Linked DNA regions of Oryzias latipes. The protein of the gene in region 1 purifies or fractionates together with the protein of each later gene. This does not show direct contact. Links are inferred from orthologs where the notes say so. Each region holds a gene or a part of one and is shown in the gene's direction. Other genes may lie near its edges.

Region 1 (6,703 bases):
TATGCAGTCTTTGAACTTAAGGGCAGAATACCATCACCTTAAGGCCCAATTTAACTGCCACCCTTTTCTTTGTAAAATTTTAGATTTTTATCATGGCTACTTTTTCTGAAAGGGGGGGGGTCCTAAGGTACATCCATGTCAAATCTCATGCTTGTACCACAAAATGCTCATATTTAAATAACAGCTCCACTAGATCTGGAAGTTAAAAGTGAATGGGTAGGCCTATTTGAGTGAACAAAGAAGTTTCAGACTAGGAATTTGTTGCAGTAATGTGCCAAACACTTAAGAATAAAAAATAACACACTGGTAGTAAATACAAGCACAGTAGTGCAAAAGCAGGATGAAGAAGTTGCAGGTAATGGACTGGTAACTGGACTTAAGTTTAAGGGGGGAGGAATTAAAGTTTTGAGTAGGAAACTGTTCGTGAGGTTCTGGTGAGGTTAGCCTCCTGCCCAAAGGGAGTGGTTAAAGTAATTCCTGTTCAGGGTGAAAAGGATCGGCTGCTATCCGACCTGCACGCCCCCGGGTTCTGGAGACGTATAGGTCCTGGAGAGATGGAAGACTGCAGCCAATCACCTTCTCAGCTGAGCACACAATACCCTGCAGTCCATCTCCCTGGTTGTGGCTTCAGTGTACCACACAGTGATGGAGGTGGTGAGGATGGATTCTATGATGGCCGTGTAGAACTGCACCATCATCTGGGTCGGCACCCCGAATTTAACTGCTGCAGGAAGTACATCCTCTGCTGGGCCTTTTTGAGCAGGGAGTTGATGGACGGCTCCCACTTAAGGTCCTGAGTGATGGTGGTGCCGAGGAAACGAACAGAGTCCACTATATGGTGACAGGAGAGTCTGTCAGGGTGAGAGGGGGTGAGGAGGTTGTGACTTTCCTGAAGTCCACGATCATCTCCACTGTCTTCTGGGTGTTGAGCTCCAGGTTGTTGATGCTGCACCACGGCACCAGCCGGTCCACCTCCCTCCTGTAGGCAGACTCATCATCGTTAGAGATGAGCCCGATGAGGGTGGTGTCATCTGCAAACTTCATCAGTTTAACAGAGAAGATGGAGGTGCAGCAGTTGGTATACAGAGAGAAAAGCAGAGGAGAAAGTACACAGCCCTGTGCAGATAGTTTGGGTGGTGGAGACATTCTTTCACAGCCGCACTCACTGCCTCCAGTCCATTAGGAAGTCAGTGATCCACCTGCAGGTGGAGTCAGGCACGTTATGCTGGAGCTTTTCCTGAAGCAGAGAGGGGAGGATAGTGTTGAACGCAGAGCTGAAGTCCATGAACAGGACACAGTTGGGCAGGTAAATTATCATGTTAGTTGTGTTCATTTAATGAAACATTTGAGCACATTTTTTAATCTCATTTTCGCGTCAGTGCTTCCGTGAAGTTTGTTCATGTATGACATGCACAACTCAAAGAGCATTATCCTATACCAAGGTCATTTATGAAAAAAAAATTTTTGTAGAACTTGTCCCGTTATATTTTTTCCTCTCTGAGGAAAGTGATCATTGTGAGAAGTTAAACAAAGCATAATTTTGGAGGGAAAGTTCACCACTTGGCGCTTGTTTTTAACCAGATGATAAAGCAAAAGTTTGTTTCAAAGAAACAAAGTCCAAAATCAAAATAGTTCAGTTCGTCCGGTGTTACCTCAGTGTTTCATTTCCTCCTAGTGTTCTGTTCTCTATTTCTCTTCTACTGGATTCCAGTCTTCAAAATGATCCAATTCACCAAACAGAATATATAATCACTTGTGTCTTTTTTACCATCTTACTAGTGTATAAACTGTGGAATAATGTACGTCAAATATGGTATCAATGAAAAGTTTGTGTTCAATATTTTCTGGATTGCTCAGAAAAGTGTTCTTGTTTTTGATGTGTTAAATAGAGTCTTCTGGACATAATCATTTGTTTTTGTTTTCTTTATTTTTCAAGAAGAAAATTCCCTTTGTGTAAAAGTAAAGGTTGGAAATCTGCTTCAAAACTTTATAAAGTCACTTTTTTTGTTGTATTTTGATCTATTAATGCGATACAATCTCAGAAATTTAAATGAAAATACTCAATAATGAGGCTTTTCACAGCAATTAAAAGGATACGAATAATTGTGATTAAAAATAGATTAATTAGTTAATAGCGGGTTAATTAATTGCACAAAATAACAAATTGCATGACATCATTAAATACATTACAGGATTACTACAGGGTTAATTTTTCAAATATATGTACCATATGTGTGGAATGTGGACCCATACTTTAAGAGCTTTTATTCCCTTTTCCCAGATTTTTTCCCAAAAGGATTGACATTCCAAAAACAGACCTTATTTCCCTTTTTTGTTGAGTTTTTCCAGTGCTTTTTCTCCTTTGGAGCTGTGTCCTGCCCCTCAGTTATCATGCAGGTGTCGCTGTGGGGAGGGCAGCTCTGTGGTTGGGGCAGGACAGTGCGCTCTCTCTTTTACACGCCGCGTGCTCGCCCCCCGCCCCCCTCCGCCCCCTCTCCTAAATTTGACCCTGGTCACTGTTTCGTCCACGCCGCTACCCTCTATAAAGTGCCCACGCTTCCCCGACACACTCTCTTTCCCCGGCCACAAATCAACCGTGAGTGTTTAACTCACTGTTATCGGGAAAAAAAAAACTTAAAATAAAAACAATATAAAAACAATAAAAGCTATAAAACATTATAAAAACGAGTACAATAATATTGAAATTTAAACTTTTAAAAAAATAGCAAAATATTAATTAAAAATATAAACAAGAGGCCTCGGGGTTTAACCGAAGGAGGATTTTTTTTGGTACATTTTTTGGGTTTCTCACTCAGAGATCTGTCCGCACCGAGCGCGTCTTGACCCGCATTCAAACCGGATTGCAGTTTTTTTCGGCTTTGGCAGATTTTCTTTTCTTTTTGGAAGTTTGGGAAATGAACACAGCGACCGGGAGTTATCCGATGGCTTCTCTCTACGTTGGTGACCTGCACCCTGACATCACGGAGGCTATGCTGTATGAGAAATTCAGCCCCGCCGGACCGGTGCTCTCCATTCGGGTATGCAGAGACATGATCACCCGGCGGTCCCTCGGATACGCCTATGTCAACTTCTCCCAGCCCGCTGACGGTAAGGAACCCCTGGGGGGTGGGGGGGGGGGGGATGAGCTCACCCACGTGGGGATCATCATGACTAATGAAAATGAATTTTATAAAGCTTTGCGCTTCCATTGAATTCTGTCTTCTTTATTTGAGACAGTCATTCATTATACCTATTATATCCACTTCCCAGTTCTTCACACACCACCTATGCTATGGCGATGCAAAGTCTCTGCAGTTCAGTTCACTACATTTTATTGGTATTTTAAAGGAATTCATGCATTTGAAACCATTATGTGCTTTAAAGTCTGTGTTTGTAATTATTGATCAATTATATGGAAAGCCATTACTGCAGTAAATCATTGTTGAGAACACGCTGTTTTTAAAATCTCTGCTGCTGATCCCATGAGTCAAAATAACAAGTGATATAATTATGTTAAAAATGAACACCTTCAAGCTAATTGCATCAGTTTGGGCATTCATAGTCAACTAGGGACACACAAAGGTTACTACTAGGCCACAGTAGTCAACTAGTACAAGAAAAAATGACTACTAGTTCTGTAGTACCAATAAACTAGCGGTTGACTGATATGTCTTACCCAATAACTAGTATGTAATCAAAGTTGTATTATTACTTAATGCGTAACACCACAGTTTTTTCTTCTCTTTTTGGTAAATAGTTTGGCTTTTTTGTCTACTACTAGATGACTTGTCCAAAACTTGTTTAACTAGTTCACACATTTATTTTTTTAAACATTTTTCAGTAGTAAATATTTTGACTTTCCTTTTTTATCTAGTTAGATGTCATCCATTGCTAGGAATGCTAAAACCATCAAGAATTCCTATTTACATTGATCTGAGTTGATTTGTACTCCTATTTTTTTTGCTGTTTTAACTAAATGGCTGGATAGCTCAGTTGGTTGTGTATAGGACCAGCGCATGGGAGGTTAGGGTTTGTTTCTCACGTGCTTCATCCACTGTGGGTTCTTGGGAAAGACCTTTCGCACTACCATGTAGCCACAACAGGGTCCAAGTTTGGTTCCCCCTGTGCCAGTCTTCAGCCTGGATATAATACACGGTTGTGTGAAAAAGGGCATTCGGCATAAAATTCTCCGCCAAACCACCTGTGCGACTCGGTGAAAGGGGTATGTCAAAAGGTGGACAACATAACTATACAGTGACCTTGTGGGTGGACAGACAACTTATTTGTATCTATTGTTACCTAAACAGCTTTAACATATGCAACAGTTGGTGCAAAGCAAATTGCTTTTGTTTTTGTTGCTTTGTTGCCTTTGGAATAAATAGGGGCGCTCTTAGCAGCGGTAGCGTGTGTTGCATTGGTCTTTCTAAGGTCCTAGTTATACTGTCTACACACTGTGAATGTTTCTCCTGTTTTATCAACAAAAACACCTGTGAGAGCAGCTGTCTCTGATGAAGGCGGTTGACCAAATACCAAGTAATGGATTACAACACCATAACTGACAGGTGTGAAATGCCCCACTGTTTTGCTGTTGATGTGGACACGGTAGAAGGGTGTAAATGTGGGGCAAAGTTCAAAGTGTAGAGAAGGAATATTTTGAGCTTTTTCATTGTTTTGTTGAAATATTATGTTTTATCCTCATGTTGGAAGTCTTCCCCATCAATAGCAAAGAATGGTGTACCCATACTCCAGCACATACCTCTCAGGACCCTTTTCTAAATATAGAACCTCACTCTGAGCAGGCCAAAATATGCCTGCTCTGTGATACTACAAACACAAATGGCAACAATAACTAGTTATTCAACACCATTAACATTTTCACCCTTGGATATTTCTGAATGTGTTTTTTTTTTTTTAAACAGCAAGATTTTCATTTTGAACCTTTCAGAGGTTCATGTGTTGAACAACAATTACACAAATTTTCTGAGCACACGGGTGGTGAAGTACAACTGCAAGCCAAACTGCTGATGCCAGCAGACGCAAGGGAGCTCCGTTTTGTTTACCAGACACTTTTAGCTGGAAAGCCTAGCCTGTGAGTGTGTGTGTGTGTGTGTGGCTCGCTGTGGAGGGACTGAACAAAAGGATGTTTGGCACGTGGACCCAAAATGACATGGCTGTTTAACCAATAGTAAAACAAAGGTATAGATTTCATAATTTTGTGTCTTAACAGTGCAGAAAAACGCAGAGACTGTAAAATGATCATCAAATCTAAAATAAATAAATAAAAACTCTTTAAAACCTGTTGAAATGGATGTTTGCCTGTGGCATTGGTAGTTAAGGGGGCACAGCAGCATGGGGTTTGTCAGAAACATGTGCTATGATCTTTGCAGCTGCCCCTGACTCGTCTGAGTTGCTGGCAGACAGCTCAGCAGCCACATGGTCTTCTGCAGCGTCTTAACCCTGTTTCTTGTCTGCTTTTGTATTTATGTCTACAAGAGTACAAGCTGGTTTGAGACAAAGTGTTCTAATCATCCTCAAACAACCCAAATAAGCTTGGTACCTGTGAATTTTTTTCACAATTTTGGATCCATATAAACATGAACGTGTCTTCTTTCTTTCTGCCTACAGCTGAGAGAGCCTTGGACACCATGAACTTTGACGTGGTGAAAGGGAAACCAATCAGAATTATGTGGTCTCAAAGAGACCCCTCCCTCAGGAAGTCTGGTGTGGGCAATGTATTTATCAAGAACCTTGATAAGTCCATCGACAACAAAGCCCTGTACGACACTTTCTCTGCTTTTGGCAATATCCTATCCTGTAAGGTAAAGAATACTTTTTGCCCCTACTATAACATTATTTTAAAACCTGGCTGCAATGTGTTATGGTCTGTAACCCATTAAGAGCCCAAGAAACATGAAACCTTCATATTGACCACTCCACTATATTTTTTAAAGAAATCTTGTAGAGGTTTGTACTGTAATATAAATGGTGCCCTAATGTTTTTAAAGGCTGTCTTAAATACTAATGCTATAACATCTGCAGTATTTTAATAATATAATCAATTCATTGTGAACAGATTAATATTTATCCTTTTAGCTCCTTTCCAACCTATTTCTTTCAAACACAAGTGTTTGGATTAAACCCTTTCAGCATTTCAGCCAAGGCTTTCCTGATTGCTAATTTGGCAGCCTAACCCACTTTGAGCTGGCAGTCTGTAATTTACCAATCTGTTTCATTACACGATGGGCGTTGGGGAAAATGTGATAACAGCACAAAAGACGGGCAATTATTTCTAGTCCGTTTTACGCACAACTATAATGTTATCTGTGCTAACTTCTGGTCTAAAGTAAAATGAAGCGGTCTTATCCACAGAACAGTAATTTCAGTACTCATGGATCTAAGCCTCAGTTATGGGTTACAAACTACAAATCCAACGGTCTACTCAGTTGAGTAAACAAAATGATAGTATGACAACAAGCAAACAAAACATCCCCACAAATGTTTTTGTCTTAACATTTACTGATGTCTGGTAAAGATATCCTCTTTGGATCAAAAACTAAATTGTGTGTGTGAGACACCTTCCAGGCTGCACAGCAGACATCCCTATACATTTGTCTGGGTGGTTTATAAAGCGTCTTTTTCTTGTTGTCATCATCCCTCGTTTATCATGACCGTGACATTAAAAAATAATCCACAAACAACGATA
Region 2 (5,782 bases), on another chromosome or scaffold:
GGGGGGGGGGGGGCATTGTTACTGCACTCGTCCCCTTCCTGGGAAATCATGGCTAATGCTCGCGTAAACAAGAATAAATGCCTCATCTGCAATACTTAAACATTTTTCTTATTTTCTATTCAACGGTTGCCATGGCGTCCAAATACACAATCTGAAACATCTGGGGGGGGGTTTCCCCCTCGTGTTGTGGACCTGGAGCCGTTTCCTGGATCCGAAGTGACTTCAGAACCGTCGCTCACTCAGTCACAGGTTTCGGTTGGTGTGACATTGATCACTCTGGATGAACGTCAGCGATGAAATTCTTTTGTTCTGCTACCTTTGCTAATAAAGGTTTGTTTGAAATTCTCTACTACATTTGAGTGGGAAGCTCGTGTTGCACCTTTTTTCAGAAGTTTCCCCACATTTGGTTGATTAGGGTTTTGTAAGTTGTCGCCAGAGCAACAGAAACATTAGCTAAAGATGAGTCATTTTGCAGCAGTTGTTTAACTTTCCATTTCACGCTCGCTTTGTCCACCCAACGCTTGTTGCCCCCATGCTGCCGTTGGTTCTTGTGGGCGTGGCAGACATCAGCTGTGAACCATGAGATTCTTTTTAGAGGTTCATTGGTCGCTGGGGAGGGCTGTGGGGCTCCCCCCCGCCTGGATAACCACCGCAGCTCAGACGCTCCCTTCTGTTCTTTCTCTGCAGAGAATTCCAGCTGACCAAAGAAATGGTGATGGAGAAGCCAAGTGCCCAGCTGGTCGGGCGAGAGTTTGTCCGACAGTATTACACGCTCCTGAACCAGGCCCCTGACTACCTGCACAGGTGACGCCCCCGCCCGCGGTTTGACCACCAAGGCTTGTAGATGTGTTCGGGTGTCCTGACCGTCTGGCGCTTTCCCTCCGCCTTCAGGTTTTACGGGAAGAACTCGTCGTACGTGCATGGCGGTGTGGACGGCAATGGCAAACCGCTGGAGCCGGTTTATGGACAGTCGGTAAGACCGTTGAGGCATAGATCCCGTCTGTCTTTCATTCGCTTTCCTAAAATGGCTCATAAATGTCGCATTTTGCTCCAACTCCTGCAGGAGATCCACAAGAGGGTGATGGCGCTGAGTTTCCGGGACTGTCACACCAAAATACGGCACGTGGATGCGCACGCCACCCTGAACGAAGGGGTGGTGGTGCAGGTGATGGGGGAGCTCTCCAACAACCTGCAGCCCATGAGGAAGTTCATGCAGACCTTCGTACTGGCACCGGAGGTCGGTGCCACGGCAAAACTCGCGGCAGCATGTGTGTCCGTTCCCCAGCATTCACTCCCTCTGTGCTCCCACAGGGCACGGTCCCCAACAAGTTCTACGTCCACAACGACGTGTTCAGGTACCAGGACGAGGTGTTTGCCGACTCGGACTCCGAGGTTCCTGAAGGTCAGACGGCTTCTCTTATGTAGATCTGAGGATTTCTAATTTCAGTCAGGAAGTCTGAACGTTTCACACCACTGTCCTTACAGAGTCAGAAGATGAGGATCTGGAGAGGGCCCCCTCCCCCGATACCACAGAGGAGCCCGCCCCTTTCTACGACCCCACGGCCTGGTGCGTCGAAGCTTCGGGGTTTCCACCTGAAGTGGAACTCTAAGTCGGGTTTTCAAAGTGAGCGTTTCCCTTTCCTCTTGGCAGTTCTGAGCCCACCGCCCCCGGTGACGATGAGGAGGTGGGGGCCAGTCCAGAGCCGGAGGTGGAGAAGGACCTGGAGGCTCCTGAGGCGGAGACGGCCCACGACAGCCGGACAGAAACGCACTCTGACGACGAGCAGACGGAGAAGAGGCCGTCCACCCCCGCAGCGCCCACCACAGAACCGGTTTCGGCGCCGGCCGAGCCCGCTCCGAGCGCCCCGGAAGAAAACAGAGTACGTCTAAGAAAGCTGAACAGACGGAACGCGACCAGACCGCCACTCTAACGCCTTTCTCTGCTCGCCCACAGCCGTTCTCCTGGGCGTCTGTTACCAGTAAGAACCTCCCTCCCAGCGGCGCCATCGCCGTGTCCGGAATCAGCCCACATGTTGTCAAAGTGGCCCCCGCGGCTCCGGTAAGTCTGAGGTACTCCAGCAAAGTCCTGACGTAGAAAATGAAAACTAGATTCAGACCTCTGTTTGTAGGTGAGAACAGAAGTGAAGCCAGAGTCTCAGACGACGCAGAGACCACAGAGGGAGCAGAGGCCGCGAGAGCAGAGGCCCGGGGGCCCTCCCCCCACACACAGGGGGCCGCGACCAGGTACACGACCAGGCGTTCTGATTGGCTCACGATTAAACCCAGAGTGATCTGGATCAGAAGTGTCTGTTTGGAGTTATTCAGGTTCTCGTTGATCTGAGTTCTTCAAAAGTTCCTGTTTGTCAGAGACGGCACTCTAAAACCGATGGCGTTTTAGATTTGGTGGTTTCTCTGTTTCAGCTCGAGAAGGCGAACAGGGCGAGCCGGAGGGTCGCAGGATCGTCCGCTATCCTGACGCGCACCAGCTCTTCGTTGGAAACGTTCCCCATGACGTGGACAAAAACGAACTGAAGGAGTTCTTTGAGCGTGAGTAGGCGGAGCCTCTTCCACGTGAAAGCTGAAACCCCGTTTGACTGACGGATTCTGCTCCTGCAGAGTACGGGGCGGTTCTGGAGCTGAGGATCAACAGCGGAGGGAAGCTACCCAATTTTGGCTTCGTGGTGTTTGATGACTCTGAACCGGTTCAGAAGATCCTCAACAACAAGGTGAGTCCGAGTCCATCCGGCCCGGCGGTCGGGTTGTATCCAAACCAGAAGAACCGGTTCTGAGAAGTTCTGTTCTTTCAGCCCATCAAGTTCCGAGGAGACATCCGCCTGAACGTGGAGGAAAAGAAGACTCGCTCCGCCAGGGAGGGCGACCGGCGGGACTCCAGGCCCCGGGGCCCAGGCGGTCCCAGAGAGCGAGTTGGGGGCGGACCCAGAGGACCGCCCACTCGTGGGGGAATGTCCCAGAAGCCCAGCTTTGGCTCTGGGCGGGGGGCGGGCCCCAGCGAGAGCCGCTTCTCGGCTCCCCGTCAGTGAGCTTCAGTTTTCCGGCTGCAGACCTAACAGAAGCTGCAGCCGCATTTTTAACCATCCACTCACTCTGGCTCCCGCTGAACCCCCCCCGGCCCCCCGTGACATTTCTGGAAGGAGTGTTCAAAGGCTGCAGGAGTTGTTTGGGGGGTCTGCAGTGACCCCACCCCCTCCCATCCTATTGGTTCCTGCACTCAGACGGCGGTGCGTTCAGGAACCGGTTCTTTTCTCTTCAGTTTGACTTTACTTTTGGCGTTGAACTTGAATCTCACAAATGAAAAACCAACAAAAAGGCGTAAATATTACTTGAATTGGGGATGTAGAGACCCAGAGGCTTATTTTATTTTCCGAGTTCTCTCCCTGTTTCTTAAAGGAACGTGTACTTTTACTGCTTTGGGCAATCCTGTGTATTGCTGCCACCGTTGTTTCGAGCGATGGCCCCGCCCATCGTTTTTATCAGGTCACGAGCTGAACTGTAGTTTTCTTTGATGTCGATGTTGTAATCTACACAAACGTGTCTGAATGGATCAAACCTGTTCGCCTTTTTTTTACCAATGCACTTCATTTGTCATCATGTTTAAGCTCATGCCGACGAGAGAACTAAATTAAACCATTTACTGTTTTCACACCGACTGCTTCCTGTTTGGGGGACTGGGGTTCCGCGGGGTGGGGGTGGGGGCACCCTGGGGTTCTGGACCGTCAGTAGGGCTTTTATTCTGGTCTGAAGGTCCAGATGAATCTTTCTTACGGCACCGTTGAGCCTGAATTTGACCCCATCACCAACATTTACACCCACAAAAAGGAACTTTGTGGCCAAAAAAGATCCACTGACAAAACAAAGAATGGGGCGGGGACATCTGGAAAGAGTTCTGAAATGATGGGATTGCTCTAAGAAAATTTTAATCAGACAAAAAAATCAGTGATGAAAGTCTTCCGGGAATTCCCGGAAATCCGGGTTTTTGAGCAAACCGAACGTACTTTCCGGCAAATAAAGACCTGATCTCTACGGACAAATCGCTTTCCGGATTAAAAAATGGTCTGAAATCAGCTTGAATTTAGACGAAGGATTAATATTGCATTTCCAAAAATCTTCAAATACTGAAGAGCAGCAGAAAAAAAACGCAGATTCAAAAAGATATTTGATGTAGAAAATACTCTGGGTGGGGCTACACTATCCCAGCTCCACCCCTTTCTGATCATCCACCAGTCAAACAGATCCATGAACATCTTTGTTTTCCTGGTCTGAGCTGGAATCTGGATCAGACGATCAGAGCTGGAACTTTAAAATATTCATGGAATGAGGGCGGAGTCATGAGGGAGGGTGGGTTCACAACCACAAACATCTAAGAAACCATTAAAGAACAATTCTCTCCATGGCTTTCTGTTGTCCATGTTACACACCTTTTCACCACACAGCAACGTGACTGTCTCCCACTAGCCCTTGTGCTATCTTAGATGACCCCCCCTCCCATTGACATGTTCTCCCTACCATGACAAAGGTGGATAAAGGTGGAAAGATTTCATGTAATCCATGGACACCAGTGAAGATCACAAATCATTGAAGAAAAAAGGTTCAGAGCACTGTCTAGTGGGTCTAGATGACCCAACTCCCAATGTTAAAGTGCCTAGGATAACACAAGGGTTATAGAGAGACATAGTCACGTTGCTGTGTCGTGGACAGGTGTGTAATATGGACAACGGAACGCCAAGGAGAGAATTGTTCCAGGACGTTAGAAACACAATTATAGACAAACATGGTAAAGGTAAAGGCTATAAAACCATCTCTAAGCAGCTTGAAGTTCCTGTGACTACAGTGGCACATATTCAGAAGTTTAAGACCCACGGGACAGTAGCCAACCTCCCTAGACGAAGAGGAAGAGGAACATTGATGACAAATTGAGGAGACGGATAGTTGGAACTGTATCCAAAGAGCCCAGAACAACCTCCAAAGACATTAAAGGTGAACTCCTAGATCAAGGTACATCAGTGTCAGATCACACCATTCGTGGTTGTTTGAGCCAGAGTGGACTTCATGGGAGACGACCAAGGAGGACACCACTGTTGAAAGGAAATCAGAAAAAAGCCAGACTGGAATTTACAAAAATGCATGTTGACAAGCCACAAAGCTTCTGGGAAAACGATGAGACCAAACTGGAGCTTTTTGGTAAGAAACATCAGCTCTATGTTGGTAGACTCAAAAATGAAGCATCCAACCAAAAGAACACTGTCCCTACTGTGAAACATGGAGGAGGCTCAGTTCTGTTTTGGGGCTGCTTTGCTGCATCTGCCACAGGGTGTCTTGAAGTTGTGAAGGTCAAATGAAATCTCTAGATTATCAAGGCATTCTGAGTAGAAATGTGCTGCCTAGTGTCAGAAAGCTTAGTCTCAGTCTCAGGTCATGGGTCTTCCAACAGGACAATGATCCAAAACACACAGCCAGAAACCCCCAAGAATGGCTCAGAGAAAAGCGTTGGACTATTCTGAAGTGGATTCTATGAGCCCAGATCTGAATCCCACTGAACATCTATGGAAGGAGCTGAAACATGACATTTGGAGAAGACACCCGTCAAACCTGAGACAACTGGAGCAGTTTGCTCATGAGGAGGGGGCCAGAATACCTGTGGACAGGTGCAGAAGGCTCATTGACAAATACAGAAACTGTTTCATTGCAGTGATTGCCTCAAAAGGTTGTGCTACTAAATATTAAGTTATGGGTACCATCATTTCTGTCCAGCCCTATTTCATTA
Region 3 (6,309 bases), on another chromosome or scaffold:
CTTTCGTCAGCTGCTCCTAAAACGGTAAGATGTGTGTGTCACATACGTCTCAAAGAGCAGTTTAAAAACAACCTCTACAACAGATACAATTGAGAATTTTATTTTATTTTAGAATTTTTAACGAAAATGCTAAACTATAAGGCTTAACTTAAAATCGATGACATCATGATTCCATTAAAATAGATTTTCTGTCATTCATTCAGTCATCGTCTAAACCCGTTTTGTTCCCATTCGGGGTCACGGGAATTTTCTTTCTCTTTCTCTTTTCACTAAGAATATAATTGAATCCAAACTGTTTTGATTTAGGTGCAGGACAGAATATGAACAAAGAGATGCAGCTGTCCGAGGGGACCCGGACACTCAGAAGAAATTTCACTCCTTTGTGCTTTTTCTGGGTGAACTCTACTTAAATCTAGAGGTAAGGAGGTTAACTCGGTGCATTCTGGAAGAAAATGATTCAGTGTGGATTCACTGGTTAACAATCCTATACAACTTATGACGCAACAAATTTGATCAAACTTTTATCATGTTTAAACCAGTTGTTTGTTTATAAATAAACAGATTTACATATCAAAACCATTTCTATAACAAATAAACAAGAAATACTTTTTGTTTTTCTTTGTTTTGCTTGATAGAAATACAACAAATAATAGAAGAAAATTGAATTGGAGATTTGATGAATCTATATCACATTTACTAACTGAAGATTGTTTTTTTCTACAATTAGTCAACTTTTTTTCTCTCTAATCCTGCCCTTATGTGATTTGCAAACACTTGAACACTCCTTTTAAAGTGAAATCGTTCCCTTTTTACTGTCATTTAGGTTCTGTTTTTTTTATTTTTTGTCTAGATAAAAAATCCAAAAGGACCTCCTAGAAGAGCTGAAATCCTGCTCTCTGGCCTCAATGACCTGCTGCACAGTCTGTTCTCCAATCCTGTGAATTCAAATCTCATCTGTGCTGTCAAACTGCTCAAGGTCTTAACATTTGTGTTTGTGCATTTTGTGAAGGTATTTTTATCATCATGAAGTAAACATCAGTGTTTTTATTTACAGCTGACCGGTTCTGTCTTGGATGATGCCTGGAAGGAAAGTGGAAAACCGCACATGGAAGAACTGATCCAAAGAATAGAAACAATTCTTCTTGATGCTAAATGTGACAGGTCTGTAGAGCAGGAGGCTTTTTTTTGTATTTTTTTTTTTATTAAAACGTTTAGATAAGTGTATCCCTATATTACGTTGAAACAGTGTTCTTTATCTAAGTGTCACAGAAAGTCTATTTAAATTGAAGCATTATTTTAACTCCTTACGTAGTTCCGTATTTTTCCAAAGAACATGTCGTTGTTGTAAATTAGACATTGTTCTCAATCAACCCACCTGGATAAATAAAGGTTTAACAGGAAAAAAAGTACTAGAGTTTTGTTTTGTACTTTAAATGGCTTCATAAAGAATCTGTTGATTTAATGACACGTTGAAAGGATTCTCGGTTTGAAGAGTTTCTTTCTCCTCAGGAATGTGAGAGAGATGCTCCTGAAGCTTGTAGAGCTTAGATCCAGTAACTGGGGGCGTGTCCACGCTGCTGCTGCAGCCAGTAACGCCACGCCAGACAACGACCCCAACTATTTCATGGTCCGTGTCTCACCCACCCTACCTACTCACCTTAGTTTGGTTTTTGACTTTGTGTTCATGAATGTGAACGTCTGTTATAACACGGCCTTTTGTTTTTCTGCTCAGAATGAACCCACATTCTACACAGAGGATGGGACGCCTTTCACAGCCGCAGATCCAGGTGAGTCCAGGTGGACATGTCCCCACTGAGACAGGAGACACAAAATGGAAACCTGACATTTCAACGCAGAAGAAACTAGATTCATAGATTTTTAACTAAATGTAGTTGTGTGATCCATTTTGTTTTTAATGGACAGATGACCATAAATAATGTTAGATTTAAACTGGTGGTGGTTGTACTTTATATGTTCCTGTTTTTTTCAACAGTTAGCAAAGTTTATCATCCACGGGTTGGGAAATAAGAAATTAATGTTTCTGCGTATATTTTATTATGGAGTGAAAGTTTGGTTCAGTTCTTATTTGGATCAGTTACATTTTTTTGGGCTGCCAAATTTCACTATGAAACCAAGATATTGAAGATTAAACAAGAAAAGCTTTTACTCAAAGCCTGTAGTGACCTGGACTTTTATATCTGACCTTTTTCTTTTGGGGGTGTCAGAATGATGAAGCTCTGTCACCAAACTTTCTGCCATCGAGCTGCAGGGTGTCTTTAAATCATGAATGTCTGTGTCTGTGCAAGTGTCGGGTACTGATGTGCCCTTACCAAACATCAGGAGGGATTTTGGATTTCAGCTGCTCGGTATAGGTAGATTTTGATAGGAATTATGGGTAACGGAGTATTTGTTTTGGGTTTAATCGTCATTGTCTTGAGACATTTTTAGCTTTTGAGGTTGAACATTACAAATGTAGGCGAGAAAAACAAAAGCCATGTTTCTTTTTTTTTTTTACCCAAGATGCCTTTGGCCTGGCCCTTCTCATATTTTTGTAGTTTGTTTCTGTTTAGTTTTGGGGTTGCATGTAAAGTTTGCTGCTGACTCTTTCTCTGCCTTCATAGAATATGCAGAAAAATACCAGGAGCTCCTCGAGAGGCAAGACTATTTTCACGACTTTGATGGGGAGAATGGAAACGAAGGGTAAGTCCAAGCTTTAAATGGAAAAAAAGGAAATGAAATCTGCACTATTCTGTTTGCAGAGACCCACTTTAGATGAATACATGCAGGTTCATCCTACTTTCCTTTCTGAATTAAAACCATCGTCTCAGGTTTTGTTGGCAAACAGAGACAAATGTGAGCTCAGAATTGATCAATATTTCATTTTTAAAGCAAACCTATTTATTCGTTTGACCCGAGTAAATTCATCATTTGAAAATTTCAGGCTTTTAATGAAGGTTTGTTGGAGGCCGTGACCTGAGATTTCCTCCCGTCAGTCTCGACCATGCCCGTTTTATGGCGTGGTGAAAGTCAGACAGTCACATGACAGCCCTCGCTCGACCTGTGAGCCTTTGGACTTGGCAAATGTGTTGCCACCCCACAATGCAACAGGGCTCACATTCAGATTAGTCAGCAGTTGGCTGTGTATGAGGGCTTAACTTGGGGTTGCAGGCTTTCAGTCTGCAATCCCAACCCACTCATTTAAAGAGTGTTATTCCAAAAGCAGTGAAGGAAAACATCAGAGTTTGCAACGATCTCCTGGTTTTTGTGTCCACAGAGATGACTTTGAAGATGAGATGGGCCCAGAGATGGAAGAAGCTTTTGAGAGTTTCTGTTTAGAATCGGAGCGGAAACGACAGCAACGCTTGTGAGACTGTCCGGCTGCTGGCTGGAACCCCCCCACTCATCTTCTCGGCATGTCGAAAAGCAAGCATTGCATCAGACGGGCTCTTATTTTACCGGAAACAACTCTTAAAGAAATGTTTATAGTTGCACTTCTGTCACTTTCTTCAGTTAGAGTTCATTAGAAAGTGGGACAATCAGTTGGACGGCTTCCTCTTGTTCCATCCTGACAGTTTTCTCTTTGTTGCTTTGAGTTTCGTTTCTAACTATTAGGCCTAATCAGAAAGCATGGAGGACATGATGTGCAGTGGATTTCAGTTATTCCTCTGAAAGGCTTTCTAGTTGAGTTAAACATGTCATTACTCAGGCTCAAACCATATTTCTAAAGCTATTTTCATAGATTTTGTTCTCCCCATATTCATTACACTAGCCTTTACAACAAGAACAAAAAGCTAAATATTTCTGCTAAAAGTTGTGCAGTTGGAGATGTTTTGTCAAATATTTGAATTTTTATTCTGAAGTAGAAAGTTAAAACTTTTCAATTCTTTTTTTTTGTTATCTCTTCTTTAGGTAAAACATTTTAATTGATTTCTACAATTAATGACCAGTTCCAAACTGAAAAGTTAATATTTTTAAAAGCAGTATTTCTTTCTTCTTCAACATCTCCAATAAACTAACTCCTTCCAACTTGAAGGCGAGGTTTAGGACTCCGCAGCGCTTTCATCGTTCTTCTCCAAGACTCAGACTGTTCACCGGCAAACAAAGGATCTGAAATCAGCAAATGTTGTTTTATAGTTTGTACATATTATTTATAGCATCATTTGCCTGCAATAAATTCTTAATGTGATATCTTTCTTGTTTTTTTTTTTCTGTGTGTGGGCTTTAATAAAAAAAATCCAAATAAAGTACTTTTGGTTAAAATCAAGAAATGTTTGTTGTGATAAAAAAATAAAGTATAGTTAATATAGTTCATCCTCCTCAGTGCGCTCACTCTATTTTTGGCCCAAGTATTCATCAAAGCTTTTAATAGTAAATCGATCAGAATCAGAAATACATTATTGATCACATATGTGGGAAATTTGTTTACCGTAGCAGTAAAAGAAGATAAATAGACATCAGAGAAAATGGAATATAGAAAACGGCTCGTGTGAGAGAGAAAAAAGACAAGAAAATGGGAAAGTTTGATTCTGAAATGCATCAATTCAGTCTGGCTGCTTGTGTGTCAGTAGTTTTTTGTCTCTAATCCCTTCATTTTTAATAGAATCTAATCCTAAGACTTTTTACCGATGATTCAAAAAAGATGGAAGCTGCTCAGACGATGTGGATGCAGAGCGGCTGCAGCTTCTGGGTTGAGCAAACATCCACCCATCGGTTGGTTGAGGGTTCGGAGTCGCTTTGGATGAAATTGTTTGCTAGACAGCTGCATGTAGACTGACTAAACAGAACGATAGTCTTGTACAAGGATGGAAAACATTTATCTCTGTCCTGCCACAAGGTGGTGATCAACATCTGAATGTCTACTGTTTCTGATGAATTTTCTGCCAGAGGCAGGACAGAAAACCAAGATGATGGTACAAGAAGAGACAAAAGAAAATCTGTAATTTCCTTTTTATTTGGTTACTAAGAAGCACAAAAGGGGAATAAATAATCTTATATTTTCTTATTTTACATTACATAACAGCAAAGTGCAAATCTTTAACAATCTTACAATTTACATTTTTTCCTGTGCCAAATTTTGGCTCTGTGTGGCACTTGAACACATTTTTCCACCACACACTAGATGCAGTATTTTTTTTTTTTTAACTTGTCCTGTCCAACAGCTAGGCAAACAGATGAGAGCTGAGGGCCTCTTGTGTTGGACATATTTTATTTTAACAAGAGGGGTTATTCATCTTCAGACAAACCAAAGGTATGTCTGAATAAACCCCTTTTGTAATTGAGGCCAAACTTTATTAATTTCAATCATGTTTGAAAATCTTTGGTGTTGGACCGGACGGAAAAGGAAAGAGGGGAAGAAGAGAGAGGGACGTTAGAGAGAGGGGGGGGTAAGAGGGTGATAATAGGAGGGGAAGGGGGGTAAGACCATGAAGCAGCATAGAGCAGACAGGTTTACTGGTTGTTTATCGTTACGGTACGGTTCAAATGTAGTACAAAAAGGGCGGGGCCTGTTCACACACACTCAAATATTATCAACACACCTGCTAGCCGCAAAAATGTCCACATGTCAACATGCACACAAAACAGATAGTGTTCACGAACGCATACCTATGCCTTTAAACCAACTAGTGTGAAATCTTTCATTCATTCAATCATGCAAACTATTAGTGCAAAGGTGAGCTAACACCTGTGCTCAGGTGAGTGTTTATGTTCTTCTAAAATGGATGGTGGAATGTGAAAAGAAGGAGGAGGAGCGCCCAGCCACCCCCACACCCATACCCCCGCCGCAGCAGCAGCGGCAGCCGGAATTCCCCCAACGCCACACGGGAACAGGCAGGGAACAACCGCCCCCCGGGCGACCAAGACCGCCACCCAGGCCAGGGCCAGCAGGACCGCCGCGAGGCCCCCAGAGCCAGAGAGCAGGGAGGCGCAGAGGGAAAGAGAGCGCCGCCCCAGCCCAGCCAGGAAAGCAGCCCCCCGCCGCGCCGGAAGAGCCCAACGCAGGGCCCCACCGGAGAGGGACGCCCACAGCCCCAGACGAGCACCCCACCACCACCCAGGAGTTCCGGGCATCCCCCCGCCCCGACCCCAGGTACGAGCCAGGACCCCCCAAGGGAGACCCGCTCCGCACTCCAGGCAGCCACCCACCCGGCCCACGGTTGGTCCAGGTAGGAGCAAGGCAGGGGCCCGCCGCCCCCGCCCAGGAGGGGGGAACCCCGGGGAAAAAAGGGCGGCCCACAAGGGATGTTATAAATATGGCCCGACCAGGCTCGGCCATGTTGGAAGTTTGGCGGGGCCCAGCGCCAAAGGGGC

The links.
Region 2: the proteins of pabpc4 (region 1) and g3bp1 purify together in Homo sapiens (affinity purification with mass spectrometry; 4 studies listed by BioGRID and IntAct, with this or other methods). This does not show direct contact. The link is inferred for Oryzias latipes from reciprocal best matches to the Homo sapiens genes PABPC4 and G3BP1.
Region 3: the proteins of pabpc4 (region 1) and paip1 purify together in Homo sapiens (co-immunoprecipitation; 3 studies listed by BioGRID and IntAct, with this or other methods). This does not show direct contact. The link is inferred for Oryzias latipes from reciprocal best matches to the Homo sapiens genes PABPC4 and PAIP1.

Annotation. Positions count from the first base shown.
Region 1 is NC_019880.2:16,807,717-16,814,419, reverse strand, and holds the start of pabpc4 (polyadenylate-binding protein 4), read left to right. Parts: upstream 1-2,562; 5' UTR 2,563-2,915; coding exon 2,916-3,108; intron 3,109-5,625; coding exon 5,626-5,819; intron 5,820-6,703.
Region 2 is NC_019868.2:28,990,773-28,996,554, forward strand, and holds the end of g3bp1 (ras GTPase-activating protein-binding protein 1), read left to right. Parts: intron 1-687; 5' UTR 688-709; coding exon 710-804; intron 805-891; coding exon 892-973; intron 974-1,063; coding exon 1,064-1,237; intron 1,238-1,311; coding exon 1,312-1,402; intron 1,403-1,485; coding exon 1,486-1,567; intron 1,568-1,651; coding exon 1,652-1,880; intron 1,881-1,954; coding exon 1,955-2,059; intron 2,060-2,129; coding exon 2,130-2,244; intron 2,245-2,421; coding exon 2,422-2,547; intron 2,548-2,616; coding exon 2,617-2,726; intron 2,727-2,807; coding exon 2,808-3,041; 3' UTR 3,042-3,661; downstream 3,662-5,782. UniProt on the Homo sapiens protein: Protein involved in various processes, such as stress granule formation and innate immunity. Plays an essential role in stress granule formation.
Region 3 is NC_019867.2:5,796,853-5,803,161, reverse strand, and holds the end of paip1 (polyadenylate-binding protein-interacting protein 1), read left to right. Parts: coding exon 1-24; intron 25-306; coding exon 307-418; intron 419-850; coding exon 851-976; intron 977-1,054; coding exon 1,055-1,161; intron 1,162-1,509; coding exon 1,510-1,627; intron 1,628-1,732; coding exon 1,733-1,787; intron 1,788-2,621; coding exon 2,622-2,700; intron 2,701-3,274; coding exon 3,275-3,368; 3' UTR 3,369-4,188; downstream 4,189-6,309. UniProt on the Homo sapiens protein: Acts as a coactivator in the regulation of translation initiation of poly(A)-containing mRNAs. Its stimulatory activity on translation is mediated via its action on PABPC1. Competes with PAIP2 for binding to PABPC1.